Arabidopsis thaliana: one gene and its partner. The protein of the gene in region 1 interacts with the protein of each later gene in a biochemical or structural test. Each region holds a gene or a part of one and is shown on either strand. Other genes may lie near its edges.

Region 1 (7,891 bases):
ATTTAGCTGTATATAAGATATGTGACCATTGGATTTGTGAACTTGATCAGTCAACAATTTTGACTGTAGAAAAGTTGATATCTTGTCTTGTTGGTTGAAAAACCTTGAGACTTAAAACCCAAAAGGCAAAAGCCGTAACCGGATTGGTCGGCTGCGTTTGGGGTCCAATGGTAAACAAAGAGACAAATATCAGATCATGCTCTCAAGCTCTGATGGGTCAATTCTTTCGGGTCAACGTGCTTAAACAGCAGCTCTGAGAATGACACTTCTTAATTTGCCGATGCTATAAGAAAATGACCACTCCTCCTTAACGTAGGGGCCATTTTTGGTATTTATATATGATAGTTGTTGTTACAAGCGGATCCCAAAAATGGCATATATTCAAGGATTTTGTGAAGTTTTCTAGTTATCAAATTAGCCACAAGTAAGGATGTTTCTTAAGGGTAAAAATTCCGATGAAAGGGAAAAGAAAAAGAGTTGAAAGAAGTTTTTATTTTTTGAATCATAAAAAAGAAAATCTTAAGTGGTTTTGGGAAAATCCGTAAGTCCCAAGTTTTTTGGTCGAGTCCTATCATGTTGCATTGTGGAACCATCAGTTTTTTGTTTTGTTCATCAATTTGTCTTCTTTTCATTTTGTTATATGTGCACTAGATGAATATCTATCCACAAAATTAACTCTTATTTGAAAAATAGAGCTGATCAATATTGTTGAAGCAAGACCGAAATAAGGCTACAAAATATATATTTTTTGGATTGAGACCGAACCTGACCTAAATGGCATCCCTAATCAGTGAGACATATATCAAACAGTATGCAACTTTTGTCTTTGGTATTGTGTTTTCAATGGAGGCTTGAGATTCACGAAATATAGCATTTCGGATTCGCAACTGACTAATCCCTATGTAGTATAGAAGATTACGGAAGCACGAGGATAATTATAAAAAAGGAAGAGGGGGAGGTGAGAAAGTGGTGGTGGGTGGTCCTTAAGCCTTGAAGGAATCAAAGAAGACATCTCACACTTGACCCCAATTATTATGCCACCTTCTCTCTCACGTCTCCATCCATTTTCGTTGTCATCTCTTTTTTTTCTTGAGGCTTTACTCTTCAAACGTGTCACCTCTTTAATGGCAAATCTTTCCTCTCTTTCATTTGTTTTTGTAATCCCTCAAATTCTCGATAGTTTTTTCTTTTTATTGTCTTTTTCTAACATGTTAATCTATCATCACTTAGATTCTCGATAGTTTTTTTTCTAACAGTGGAATGTCCTTGGAAATCGTACGTATATTAGTTTTTTCTTATATCAATCATGATATATTCATCGCAAATAATTTTGCAATCTAGCTATATAAAGCCGTGTTTTCCTTTTGTCACTTAAAATGAATTAATGGTTTGCATAAAAACTAAAGGGATGGATACCACTTGATAGCCACAATTGGTTGCCTATATGAATTTTTGCTCCTACGTATCACGTCGGCCATGTCCTCGATCGTTATATGGACGTAGATTTTCATAATTATCTACTAATTAATTAATGCCCTAATGTTGTTTACATTCATATGTTATTGCTCCAAATATCATAGGTTAAATATGTGTTTTCTTTTGTTGATAATTGACTGAGAATTAACTTCGCAAAACGTACGTTAACCATTTCTTCAAAGGCTAACAAACATTCAACTTAAATTCATATCGTCAGAACTTTAAAAATGTTATCTACTTTCAGATTTATTTAAGTAATTAGCGAACCATAAACCAAACTAAACTGGTTGGCTGGTATTGGTCTAAATATTATTCATCATGTACGAATTTAGCTATAACTAAAGATAATCCTGATCCATTTTTGTGAGGACAAAGTATGATATATGCACTCATTTTGTTTCACAAAGTTGGTTAAGTTGTAGGACACACGAAAGGCGTTTTAACTTATTGTATCTTCTTTATGAATTTAATTTTCTTACAAATTAAAGATTTAAAAAAAAAAAAAAAAAACTGTTCGAGAAGAAACTAAATTCAGATAAAGAGGTCTCTCACATGCGACGCACTTTGAGCAAAAGAGTCGGACCGTAGGGTCGTCATGCACATGCCTTCTCCGTCTATATTTATACTTTTATTAAAATTCAAATTTTTTGGCATATAGCTTATAAATATCGAAATTACATTTTCTTAAATATAGCTTTTAAAATTTTATTAGGTGAATGAACAATTGATTTTAATATCCGATACGTACAACGGACCTATAAATTAGATACACATTTAGAGAGAAACTAAATGAGTTTTTAATATTATTTTAGAATAACCTCTAATGTTTATATCTAACTGGTGGAACCTAGATTCTTGAGGAATATCTCCAAATTGACACATTTAAATTCTCGATGGAATTTTTTTACTTACGGATTTATCTTAAATATACAAAGTTGTCATGAGCATCAGCACATATGTGGACTAAAGACAAATCGTTGGGTTTAAACTTTAAAAGTTAATTTCTGGAATTATGCTTCTAGTAAATATTTGAAACACTTATTATATTCAAATTTTTTTTTAGAAATTTCATTTTCTTAGAAAATATTTACAATTCAAACTTGTGAAACGACACCAAAATATTTCGAATCCTATTATAAGGTTTTTAGAAAAACATAGTATTTTCGTCCAACTCGTGATGATTTTGACAATTTTTTTTTTCCAGGGCAAACAAATCATTAAAAACAATAAGACATTCCCACGATAAAATCGTAAAAGAATTAATTGAAACAAATTCATCGGCTTATACACTCGGCTATAAAGCCGAGCCGAGATTAGTAGACGGCTGAAGCTCCGACAGAATCTTTGATAGAGCTGTCATGGCTCGGACTTGCATTTCCAAAGCCGCTATGTAATCTGCTGTCTCGTCCAAAAGCTCCGGTAACGCCGTTCTCCGGCAACCCGGCACCAACCCACCCAAAACCCGGACCCGATTTCCCACCGCCGATAACTTCCTCCTCCTCCCACTTCCACCACTTCCCCTGATCGCCGCAGCTAATGCCGACGCCGGTTTGGTATTCCTACGCCGCCTCAGACTCGTTCCGAATCGACTAACCAAAATGGCTCGGCTCCACCGAGTTGCACCACGAGCGGTCGTCGCAAGGACTTTGTCGGCCGTGTCCCGGACTGTTGCGCTCCGCCGCGATCGTTGAAGAGCGTCGTAGAGCTTTAGGGAATATACCTTCTGCGCCGTTGTGGCTCTCCATCTACGACTAAGATGCCTTACCGGAGCTTCTTCAGAGCTTACCCTTGATCGACGTAGAGCCTCCATCAGCTTTGGAGCGAAAACTCTTTGTCCTCTTTGCAATCTCCGGCGAAAGGGGATTGTTTTAGTCCCTTCTACCTCCGGTGACGTGGAAGGATTCGATCCATTTCCTTGTTCAGAAGACATTCACAAGAAATCTATAGAACCACACTTAAACAACGTTTTGTTTTTGTTTCTTGTTCTCTTGGAAAATTTCCAAGAACAGTTATTTATAGAGTCAGAGAACAATGTTGAGCTCTTTCTTATTTTGATAATAATTTTGAGTAATTGGAGGGGATATCTAATTCTCTATATATAAACATTTGGGAGAGATTGGAGAAGCCACCCTTAAATCAATTATTTTCTATATTTTCTTGGGTTTTTCGAATTGAATACCATTATTTTTTATTTATTTTTCTTTAATAATAATGTACGTCTAAAATCACATTGGCCAATTATGATTGAACTGGTGAATGAAAAAAATTCAGTTTGAACTTAATGCATTTTTAGATTAGAAAAATGATTCAGGAACAAAAAATATCTTTTCTTCTTTCGACGTCGAACGAAAATATCTATCTTCGTTGCAAAATTAGATATTTGAACAGATATTTTACTCATAGACTAAACTTGAAACTTTTTACATATCTATTTATGATGGTGAGCGGCGTAAATTTGTGTTATGACGTGGAATATTTAGTTTGTAGATTTTTAGTTGTGAAAAGAACAAAATTGGCGATGGAATGGAGGAGTTTGATGTAATAATGTGGAGGGCAATGATTGGTGGCAATATAACCAATAGATCGAACAAATAGCTATCAAACAAAATTTAACATAAAGAAACAAAAAAAGCTAATGAGTTTTTTTTTTAAAGAAGGAACAAAAAAAAAAGGAAAAGAATAGGAAAAAGAGAAGATGCATGTGATGGTGTTTTATTTCACGACCTTCACACCTTAGGCTTAGTGGTTGTTGTGGCTATTTATCATCCACATTTTTTGGCTCAAAATCTCTCTATTTTTTCGAAAAAAGATTTTCAGTATTTGGTGTTTTGTGAAACATATAACATGTTCTTTATACTTTTCTTCCTTTTTTTTAGAAAATAATAATTTGATTTAGTTGATTTTTTTCGAAAAGCATAGAATTGGGTTTTGGATTGCACTAGTCAATCAGTTTATAAGTGGAAAGGCAAGTTCTATATATACATACTAAATAACATTATAAGTTTTCCTTAAATATTTTTATACCATGTCAAGGATTATAACTAATCTAACATCTATCCGTCAAAAGTTACTTAAGGGTTGGGAAACGCATATGTTTCGTATTTGTTTAGGCTAGTAAGAAGTAAGAACATACGAAAAAAAAAGACAAAGTATTAGCAAAGAAATTAAGAAACAAAAGTATCCAATTAGCAAAGAAAAACAATGCAAATGTGGGGTTTCAAGCAATAAACGTGAGTCATGACAGAGAGATTTGCCTCCTGGCGTCAGACACGCTTTGATATCCTCTTCTTAATTTTTTCTTCCTTTTCTGTTTGTTTATTTATTATTCCCAAATCAAATGATTAGTTGTTATCCTCATTGATTATTTTTTGGTTATCCCAATTCAGGACAATAATATTAATAATGATGACAATGATTTGTTTCATGAACAAAATATTAGGTATGTGTGCACTTAAATTTTTTCTATCTTTTTTTTTTTTTTGGTTATAGACAAATCTTTCTGAATATTCTGTCAAAAACATCGATATATGTTAGAAATCAAACTTATGAATTATTAAACGGAGCCGTACATTGCATGCGAAACAAAGAACAACAATATGGAATAATTAGAGTACTAATTAAGTTATATACACAACATCCTCTCTTTTTTTTTTCCTTTCAATTTTCACGTTTTTAGTATTTCATTTTGTCAACAGTTATACTGATTAGCAGAAAGAAACAATTCTTTTTTATTTTTTGACATAAAAAAAATACATCTGCTTAATTTGTTGTATCATCAAACCGGTTCAGTTTCACTTTAACCATAAACAAATTCCTCGAAAATTCCAAAGAAGAAAGATAGTACCAATTGGTACCGTAAGGGCTCCTGAAAATGAAAACAATAAAAGCCCAGGACCAAGATAAAGTTTATTACTTCGGCCCAAAATTTAGCTAACGACCGATTTTTTTTCAAACCGGTCCTGGTTTGGTTTAAGACTAGTAATAAGATATAAATGCAATGAAACGACATCGTTGGAGGCAGTGGATGTCCTTTTCCCAAAAATACGTTTTCTTCCTTTTTTTTTTTTTTTGTTTATTAATTCTTGGGAAGGGGTTTATGAAGGGCTTTTGACACCACCAGTCTTCGTCTACAACATTCTTCACTTTCGTACGGTTTCTTGCCTATTAGGCTAAGCTTAACCCTAATTTCCCAAATTCGCTACTCAAGATCTTCCTCCCCCGTCATGCTGAAGTTTCTCACTCCGACTGCTTACGCTTCCCATCACGTGACTCCGGCTACTCGATTCCGGTCTACCCCGGTTAAGAATCTATTGTTCAAGCAACTGACTCTTCTAACCGGATGGAACCGGAGTTCCTACGAATTGGGTCGTCGTTCTTTTTCCTCCGACTTGGATTCCGACACAAAGTCTTCAACTACTACTGTCTCAGCTAAACCTCACCTGGACGATTGTCTAACGGTTTGTTCAAATTTTTTCAAGATCACACTTTTTTTTTTCCCGACTATGGGGAATTTTATGATCATGGGGAATGTAAGATTTCCAGAAACAATTGAACTTGGCTGGTGCACTTCATATGCTTTGATTTTTCATAGAACATAGAGAAATCAGCTCAATTGGCAAAATTTTCTTTATGGTTCTAGCGATTGGAAAGTTAAAACTATAAACTTTAATAGCATTGGTTGGAAAATTCGAAATTTTGAAGAAATTGAGTGTGTTTATAGTATACTGATCTTTTGATATACGCAAATTTGGATGGATCATTCCTAGTTTTATAGTCAGGCAAAAGCTAGAACCTTTTATAGCAAAACCATTTCCTCGAGCTTCGCTACGATTGTTTTCATTGAGCTTTATGTTGTTGAATTGCAGGTTATAGCATTGCCATTGCCCCACAAGCCTCTTATTCCTGGCTTTTACATGCCAATATATGTCAAGGTATCTTACATCAACTTAGCTATTCGAAATCATAGTGAAAGAATGGATTTTGTTATCTTGTGTTCTCTCACCTGTATGTATAAGCTTTTTATTTGTCTAGGATCCTAAAGTTCTTGCAGCTTTACAAGAGAGTAGAAGACAACAAGCTCCATATGCAGGGGCTTTCCTTTTGAAGGATGACGCGTCATCTGACTCATCTTCGAGCTCTGAAACTGAGAATATTCTAGAGAAGTTGAAAGGAAAAGAGTTGATTAACCGGATTCATGAAGTTGGCACACTTGCCCAGGTACTACTTTCTTGCCGCACGTTAGCACTGTATGTTTTCCCTTTATATGATTATATCTGTCTGAATAGACTTAGCTGTTGCCAATTTTCCAGATTTCAAGTATCCAAGGTGAGCAAGTCATCCTTATTGGTCACAGACAACTTCGAATAACAGAGATGGTACGTTAAAGGAACATATCTTTTTAAAGGATCAAAAGTTCATGAAAAGTAAAGATTCAATTGTTCAGAAGCTCTGTGTATATCTTACACATGTGTGTTCTGCTTATCAAGTTATGGTTCTCTGAGTGTGAAAACCATGTGCTTTGTTTCTGTTCAGGTGAGTGAGAGTGAAGATCCCCTAACCGTCAAAGTTGACCATCTAAAGGTGTGTTTCTGTTTTCAAGCCTTTCCTTTTATGATACAAGCATGGGAGCAAGAGATGCGGTTTCTGTTTTCTTTTGAAATGCTGAAATCTTTAACCCTTGTCACGTGTTCTTTGTTATTTATTTGCAGGATAAGCCATATGACAAGGACGATGATGTCATCAAGGCAACATACTTTCAAGTGATGTCGACACTTAGGGATGTCTTAAAGACAACTTCACTCTGGAGAGATCATGTTCGGACATATACCCAGGCATGTTCTCTTCATATTTGGCACTGCTTGAGAGTAAAGAATATGTCAAGAGTATCAGTATCTTACTAGATTTATCTAAAATAGCATATAGGTGAATTCAATTATCCAAAGTTAGCCGATTTTGGAGCTGGGATCTCTGGCGCTAACAAACATCAAAATCAGGGGGTTCTTGAAGAACTGGATGTAAGTAGTTAGCTATTAGTCTATTACTGTCACGTTTTGATGCTGAGATTACCTCAAACAGGATGATAGTCCATTCTTAGCCAGCTTCTCATATGTTTTTTTCTTCGATCCAGGTTCACAAACGTCTAGAGTTGACGCTGGAATTGGTGAAAAAAGAAGTTGAAATTAACAAGATTCAAGTACGTCATTCCTTCACTTGTCTGCATCTGTCCAGCTGACTCGTGCTACTAGATCTTTGTAAATGATTAGTTTATATAGAATGAATCCTTATCTCTTTGAATTCGTGTTTAGGAATCCATAGCAAAAGCTGTTGAAGAAAAATTTAGTGGCGATAGACGTCGTATCATACTAAAGGAGCAGATCAATGCTATAAAAAAGGTTTTCAGTTCGCCTCTAATTTT
Region 2 (7,435 bases), on another chromosome or scaffold:
AATGGATATCCACTGAAACTATAGGAATAATACAAGATGTAATCCGAGATTATAGAATAGGTAGAAGGATTACCGTAACTGTGAAATTACCCTATTTTGTTTTGTCTTCCTCATCGTCAACGCATTGGAAGAAGAGACGATACTTTTGTGGATTTGATTAATTTCACGTGCAAGTCCACAGTTTATAGGCTTTTGGGACTCATCCTAAGTCATAAAAATGATAATCGCATTCTATAAATGAAGTGTGCCCTTTCAAGCTTCAAACTATTCGCCACATTACAGTTTATATTATTAATCGGTAAAATAGTATAAAGCTAAAAAAATTAGTACAGAGCTTCAAAAATTATGCTGATATATATAGGTGATTATTGTTATGTTTCCAAACATTTTAATATAATAATATGGTACGAGTACGAGCAAACATATATATAGCTGGATCACGTTTTTTGAGCAATACTATACGATTAAGCTTGTTTGGTCGGTGTCATAGTGGAGAGAGAGAACACCTGAGCTAAATTAAGGACTAAACGTAGATCGTAATTTGATCTAAGCATCTTTGTATGTAAAATATGTGTTTTTCAATTTCTAATATAATTTATTATATATATATATATATATATATATATATATATATGTGTGTGTGCGCGTAATAAAATATGGTACAAATAATATATGTTTATATATATATATATATAAACATTTTCTACAAGCATTATGTATAAATATTTTCTACAAGCATTTATCGCCAATTTCTATAATATGTTTCGAAGATATAAGCCTTACTAATTAAAAAAAAATAATCTATTTTCACTCATCAAAAACAGAATTCCACGGGACTAGAGTTATCTTCCCAATTGTCTATATCTTTGCATAATCCTAATCAATCTTCGGCTTCTAAACCTGTGAGAGACTAAATTTATTTTTGCATACATACGCGAGCCTGAATTTGTCTTCCCTATTTCGGATCTCTTTTATCGAATTCTCTAAAAAAGGCTTGCATAATCCTAATCAAATTTTCAGCTTCGGAAGCTGCATATGTTAATTAATTCCAACATTTAGGATTGAAATCAAATCACCATCATTCTTTACTATTATCAAAAATGAATAGTAAAAACTATTGAAGATCTTTCAGAAAGCAAAACTTCTGATTAAACCCCACTTTAACTACTCAGTAGAAAAATATTCATCAAATTCATTGTTATCATCATGAAATCATATAATCCAATTTAATTTCTTTTACTAAACTTTATAATACTTAAACTCAATATAAACATTATTTTATTTTCTGTGTAACATAAATAAATAAAAACAGAAGAAAACTAGACAAACCGAAACAAGTAGCAAAACGAATAAACAAAACGGATTTGGAGGTTTTAACAAAAAAAATAAGACTGTAATAAGAATAGAATGCTCGTGAAATAAAGCTTAATCTTCGCTGTCGATTGATTAGTGATCATGTGCCGCGAGAGACACGCTGACCACAATTTAACACATCTGAGCTCTTTGTTTATGTTCCTTTCTTTAGAAATAAAACTCATATCAAATCTTACCTAAAATAAAAAAAACTTACAATTAGATCTTTTCTCTCTAATGTAATCACTTTTAGACTTATTTAACTTTGTTTTTTTATAGCGAAGAAAAGTTATGATTGATTGTTTTGGTTGACCTTGTGTGTATATACTATCTATTTATGTTCACCCGCAATTATTATTTAAGTCCCCTATTCGAACTTTTTATCTCTAGATATTATTAGTTCTCTCATGATCATGTTCAATCCTATCCACACAGATATATCATATTTGTTGATGATTCGATATAGAACTATCGAGATGTCTCTAATTTTTTTCATTATCTTTTGTAATTCCTGTTATCTTGGAAACGTTTTAAAGCTATGTCTGATATGTTTATCAAATAAAGGAAAAAGGGAAAGAAAAAATAACTATGCCTGATATTGACTCTCCGACGAAAACTTGGTGAGAAGACCATTCATGTCATTTAAATGGAACACACGAAGAAGATAAATAGTGAAATTCGGTTGGAGCTAGGTCCCCATACCTATCACTAGACTACCATCTAATTATATATGATATATATTATATAAAACCACATTTGATATGATCTTATAAATTAATATTATACAATAATTTTGACTTTTAATAATTTATCGCTCATTTACCATTTCAAAAATTGTGAAGGTATATATACAATAGTAGGAGTACAAAATTTTGTATCATTAACATTATATTTTGTTATCGCCAATTTTCTACCGTTTCAATGAGCTAGTGAGAAATGGAGTTGAAAATTTGTACAACAGCCTACAGCAGTACAATTAAGTTCTTCTAGAAGATTTTACTGAAATGGTCGCTACTTTTCAACATACAAGGAATTTGCATTTAATGAATCAAAAGTAAATTGCATTACCATATATTTCTCCAATGTATTAAAATCTGAGATTTTGTGTTTCGTCCTCCACAGCTCACTCTTCGAGTTTACATTTTTTCTTTGTCGTCTTATACTTTCTCTTTTTGAAACATATCTCCTTATTTTCTTGGCTTATTTTAACTATATAAGAAAGTACGTAATTTTTACTATACAAGAATTTGTAGTTTTCACTTTTCAGGCTCGAAACTACAAGGATCTCAGAATTATTATAAAAAAGGCGTAAGAAATACAAAGTTGGCGAATATTTTTCTCTGTAAACTATTGTCCTAACATTCGTTACAAAGAAAAACAACGAATAAGAAAATGCAGAGGTAGATATGGGTCTAAAATTTTGGATTGTTGACGTAACAAAAATATCTAAATTTTAACCAATATATATCTAAACGACTTCTGTGTATTGATACAAAAAATAACAAATAAAGATAAAATATTGATGAAAATAAATTTTCCTCAAGTTTCCAAACGATAGGCAAATGTTGGTTTTAATATTTGCTGTTAAAATCATTTTAGCATAGTGGTTAAATTAAAAATGCTTTTAGTTAGAAACATTTAGTGAATACTTGTTGTTGTTAAAGAAACGTTAAGTGGATACGGTAGTTCAATACTTTAAGTATGTTTCTATTCTCTTTTTTATTCTTATTCATCATAATTTTTATATTTTCCTGTTTTCTCTTTTCAATAATAATATTAATTCATAATTAACTTAGATACATTTTCTATATCTTTAGGCCTATGAGTTTCTAAATACGGCCCTAGCTACGTGTTTTTGTGGTGCAGCTGATTAGTGCATATAGCTAAATAAATAACTAAACAATGAGATGACCGATGAAGTGTTCAACGTCGGTCGGTGCAAGTGAACGCGCCTCCCGAAATGCCACGTGTGTGTTGTTTTGTTGATCAAAGAACATGGGCGTGTGTGTGATCTCTTTGACCAGTCAAATCACTCATACTTTGGCTCTTTCCTCATACACACAAAATGTATACGTATATTAATTAAAAGAATTACTGTGTGTAGATTTTTTCTTATACGTCGTCATGTATTTTTTTTTAAATTTGGTCATGTATGTTTTTTTATATTCTGCATTAAAAATACCAAAACAATTCTTATATTAGAGTAGAGGGAGTAAAAAAACAAAAAAAAAACAAAACAAATTGAATTACATTGTTAATTAAATTTCTTTTTTTTTTTTTATATAACTAATTGGCTGTTCGGTCATTTTTGATAAAAACACACTAAAAATGCTTCAGAAATAATCTGATTTTGTATTGTATAAAATGCCGGTTTAAATAACAATGCCATAAATTATAAGTTGGTAGTATTAAAAAAAATATAAGGTACATGTGTGGACGTGGTAGAGCGAAATCCCAAACATCGATAATGTGAATTTGTATCTTAATAGAAGTTGTGTTTCGAGGAATGGATAGGCTTATTTTACTTATAAAGTATATATAAAAAAAAAAGTATAATACTTTCTTCCTTGATAAACGCACAAAATTCAGTTCAATATCTTCTTTAGTTTAACATTACTCACCACAGAAGTAACAATACTCTACCATCTTTATAACCTTTCAATATATACAAATGTTTATTTCTGTTACATGACGTCCATGTCTGTTCGTATAAAATAAAAAATATTAAAATGTTTCTTTTCACTTCCTATTTTTTTCGTAATAAAAAAACTAAGTTGAAGATATATAAATTATTAAGGTAATGAAGAATGTTAAAAATAGACCTTAGAAGTTAGAACTCTAATATATGAACTGCAAGGTCCGAGTGTCAAATTCAAAGCTCGAAACATATTAATAAATTTTACGGTATAGGGTAATTTTTCATATATGTTTTGGCTAGATTCAACGATATATATTATTATACCTAGCAAATTTAGATCTATGTACATTTAAAATACGAGATTCTCTGAAATCGTTCTATTATAACAAAAGTTGTCAGGAGAGGGGGCATATAATTCAATATTTGAAAAATAAGATTCGCAATATATTTTTTTCTAACTAAAATAAGAAAGCAATTTTATATATTTTTCATAAACAAATAATAAAAAGACCTACATAAATACAACCGTCACTTCACTTGTTTCCTTCATACTATCAACTTTTCTCTATCTATCTCTCTCTCTTCTTTTTCCGGCATAACTTCTGTGTTACCCTAAACTCCATAACCTGTTTCACCGATAAAGTGCCTTTGCTTCTATCTCTGTCACTCTTACTACTTGTTGAACAATATTCTACAAAAAAATGTCGGGAAGAAGATCACGTTCGAGGCAATCATCAGGAACTTCAAGGATCTCAGAAGATCAAATCAATGATCTGATTATCAAGTTGCAACAGCTTCTTCCTGAGCTCAGGGACAGTCGTCGTTCCGACAAGGTATGCTGAATCTAACTAAGTCAACTAGTTATGTAATATATATGCGTATATATGGCATGAAAATAATGATACATGATACATATTGACAGGTTTCAGCAGCGAGGGTGTTACAAGATACGTGCAACTACATACGGAATCTGCATAGAGAGGTTGATGATCTAAGTGAGAGGCTATCTGAGTTACTAGCAAACTCAGACACTGCACAAGCTGCTTTAATCAGAAGCTTACTTACCCAATAATTCCTATCTATCTTTTTCTTCTTCTTCTTTTTTTTGTTTACTATAATAATAATAATAGTTTGCGGGTTTTTTTTTCTATAGATGTTGATGACCTTATAAACGTTTAATGATACGAGTTCGTCACTTCTGCTTGGGTCATAAATATTCGCTTGTTTCCAATATAAAACCTTTGCCCATTTTCGGTTATCTTGTTTGTCTCTCCTTTTTTTCTTTCTAATATGCATTTAATTTGGTTAGGGTTTTGTTCACCAAAGACTTGGCTATGTTCATTTCTAAGCTTTTTATTGGTTTCGTGTTTTTGAGTAATATAAAACATGTCATAACAAGAGCTTATATGAAGAACAACGAATTTGTAATTTAAAACATGCCATTCAAAAATTTCATCTTATTTTTTTTTATCGATCTTGAGATATGAAAAACCTTACAAAGCGTAATGGTTCCCTAAATCGTCCAAGAACACATATTATGAATTTATGGGCTTTCTTCTAAATGTCAAAAGAAGAATACAAAGTCGTAGTTGATTACTAAATATATCATGAAAATATTATAAAATAATTAATTATTTAAGTTGGATACCGAGCAATCTATGAAACTGTCATTTCCGCATATTAACATTGAAGGAATTATTGGAAGATTATGTTTATGGGCAATAAAGTATGGGGTGAACTTGACGCTATGCACTCAAAAGAAGCACAAAAAGCTGCAAATTTTATGCCATAACCTAATTTCGATTTTTGCCACTTTTAATTTTTTATTTGAAATTTTTATTTTCTTCCCACCAAACATACTTATTTGAGATTTTTTTGCTTCCTTATATAAAAACGAGATCTTGTGCCGCCAAACCCAACCAGAACTAATGGGTTCGTCAATGATGATTGAAATAGAGCACCGAGCCTAAACACTTACATTTTTATATGTGAATCTTCAATGAATATTTTTTGTAACAACACGCATTATGATTTAAATCCGGATAGGAATACAATAACGATATTAGGACAAACTACTATCTCTTCATATCTTTATCCACAATGGATTTCTTGTCATATTCAAGAAATGAAACAAATAACTACATATGAGATAATAATATCTATATGGGACTTTGACGTTAACATAAAAAAATCTAATTTTCACTACAAATTCATAGTCATTTTCTCAGAGTTCCAAGATAACTCTCATATATTAAAGATCATGTCCACTATAATCGTGTATGTTAAATGGTAACCGATTGTTCTCTATTGATTTAGATTCATCTTAGCTATAATCATTTATTCATTTATCATAAACAATATGATCATTTAAAATTATTAAGAAATCAATAAGAAATAACAAAATAAAATGTAATAAAAATTATTCTATAAAAAAGTCAGCTAGTAAATTTATAACCAAAAAATAAAAAAGAAAATTAATGGGAAGAGTGTGGGGGACACGAGAGTTTCACGTGACGTAAATAAGTCAATTGGTAATTAATAGGGTGACTCTCTCTGACAGGAAGTTAATACAACACGGAAACTCTTTTCTCCAAGTTCTCTCTAATTATAGTTTTTCCAAATTTTTACAATTCCAACCCCTTTCTCTCTAATCTCTCTTCCAAACCTCTGCATCGCTTTCAAATCCAAATACATTTTGACTCTTTTCACCACTCTCGTTTCCACGTTCTTCCTTTTCACCAGAGGAAGAATGTCGATGACAGAGCCGGTGTGGAAGATCAATCCATAGCCATTTTAATACTCTGTTTTATTTCTTCCATTAATTGTATCTAGGGTTTTGGTTTTTGGATGATTACATCTTTGTATAGGATTAAATGGGGAATTGCTTTGAATCTTGTTCGAAGAGAAATGATAATGAGGACGATAATCTTGACTCCTCAGTGAACTCGAAACCCTTTTCACGTAAGCTCTTCTCATTCTTTGATATTCATATCTCTCTGTTTCTGGAAGAGTCTAACTAAATTCTTACTGGAATTGTTGAACATAACTTGTCCTTTTGCACATTTTCCTGGACCCTCTGAATGTTAATGCATTGATGGATGAATCTTTTATGTAGTCTGGTTATTCGATTGCCCTGTTCTTAACTTTAGTGACTTTGTTGTTGATAGTTCTGTTTATCCATTTAATTCTCATTTTGATGTAAGAATGTGTGGCTCTGTTTCTTATCCAGGAGCTAATAGTGATACTGGAAGAAGCTCGAATCTGTCATATCCATGGAGTTTAAAACCTCTCATTACAAGAAAATGTGAAGCTATCAGTGCTCTACCTCCACCGCACAAAGAAGGAGACATAATGCATTCTCAATATTTGAAGTCCTTTACCTTAGATGAGCTAAAGAATGCTACAGGAAACTTCTGTCCAGAGAGTCTAATTGGAGAAGGAGGG

The links. The genes of interacting proteins can lie anywhere in the genome.
Region 2: the proteins of AIF1 (region 1) and BS1 form a complex in vitro, tested with the Arabidopsis thaliana proteins (one study listed by BioGRID).

Annotation. Positions count from the first base shown.
Region 1 is NC_003074.8:1,722,991-1,730,881, reverse strand, and holds AIF1 (AtBS1(activation-tagged BRI1 suppressor 1)-interacting factor 1), read right to left. Parts: upstream 3,732-7,891; 5' UTR 3,407-3,731; coding exon 2,771-3,406; 3' UTR 2,517-2,770; downstream 1-2,516. Other genes in the region: LON4 (lon protease 4), read left to right, coding at 5,700-5,933, 6,342-6,407, 6,508-6,693, 6,786-6,851, 7,009-7,056, 7,185-7,340, 7,392-7,490, 7,604-7,669 and 1 more. UniProt on the Arabidopsis thaliana protein: Atypical bHLH transcription factor probably unable to bind DNA. Negatively regulates brassinosteroid signaling.
Region 2 is NC_003070.9:27,995,926-28,003,360, reverse strand, and holds BS1 (activation-tagged BRI1(brassinosteroid-insensitive 1)-suppressor 1), read left to right. Parts: upstream 1-4,539; 5' UTR 4,540-4,692; coding exon 4,693-4,824; intron 4,825-4,913; coding exon 4,914-5,063; 3' UTR 5,064-5,442; downstream 5,443-7,435. Other genes in the region: AT1G74490 (Protein kinase superfamily protein), read left to right, coding at 6,865-6,952, 7,221-7,435. UniProt on the Arabidopsis thaliana protein: Atypical and probable non DNA-binding bHLH transcription factor required for MONOPTEROS-dependent root initiation in embryo. Promotes the correct definition of the hypophysis cell division plane. Transcriptionally controlled by MONOPTEROS.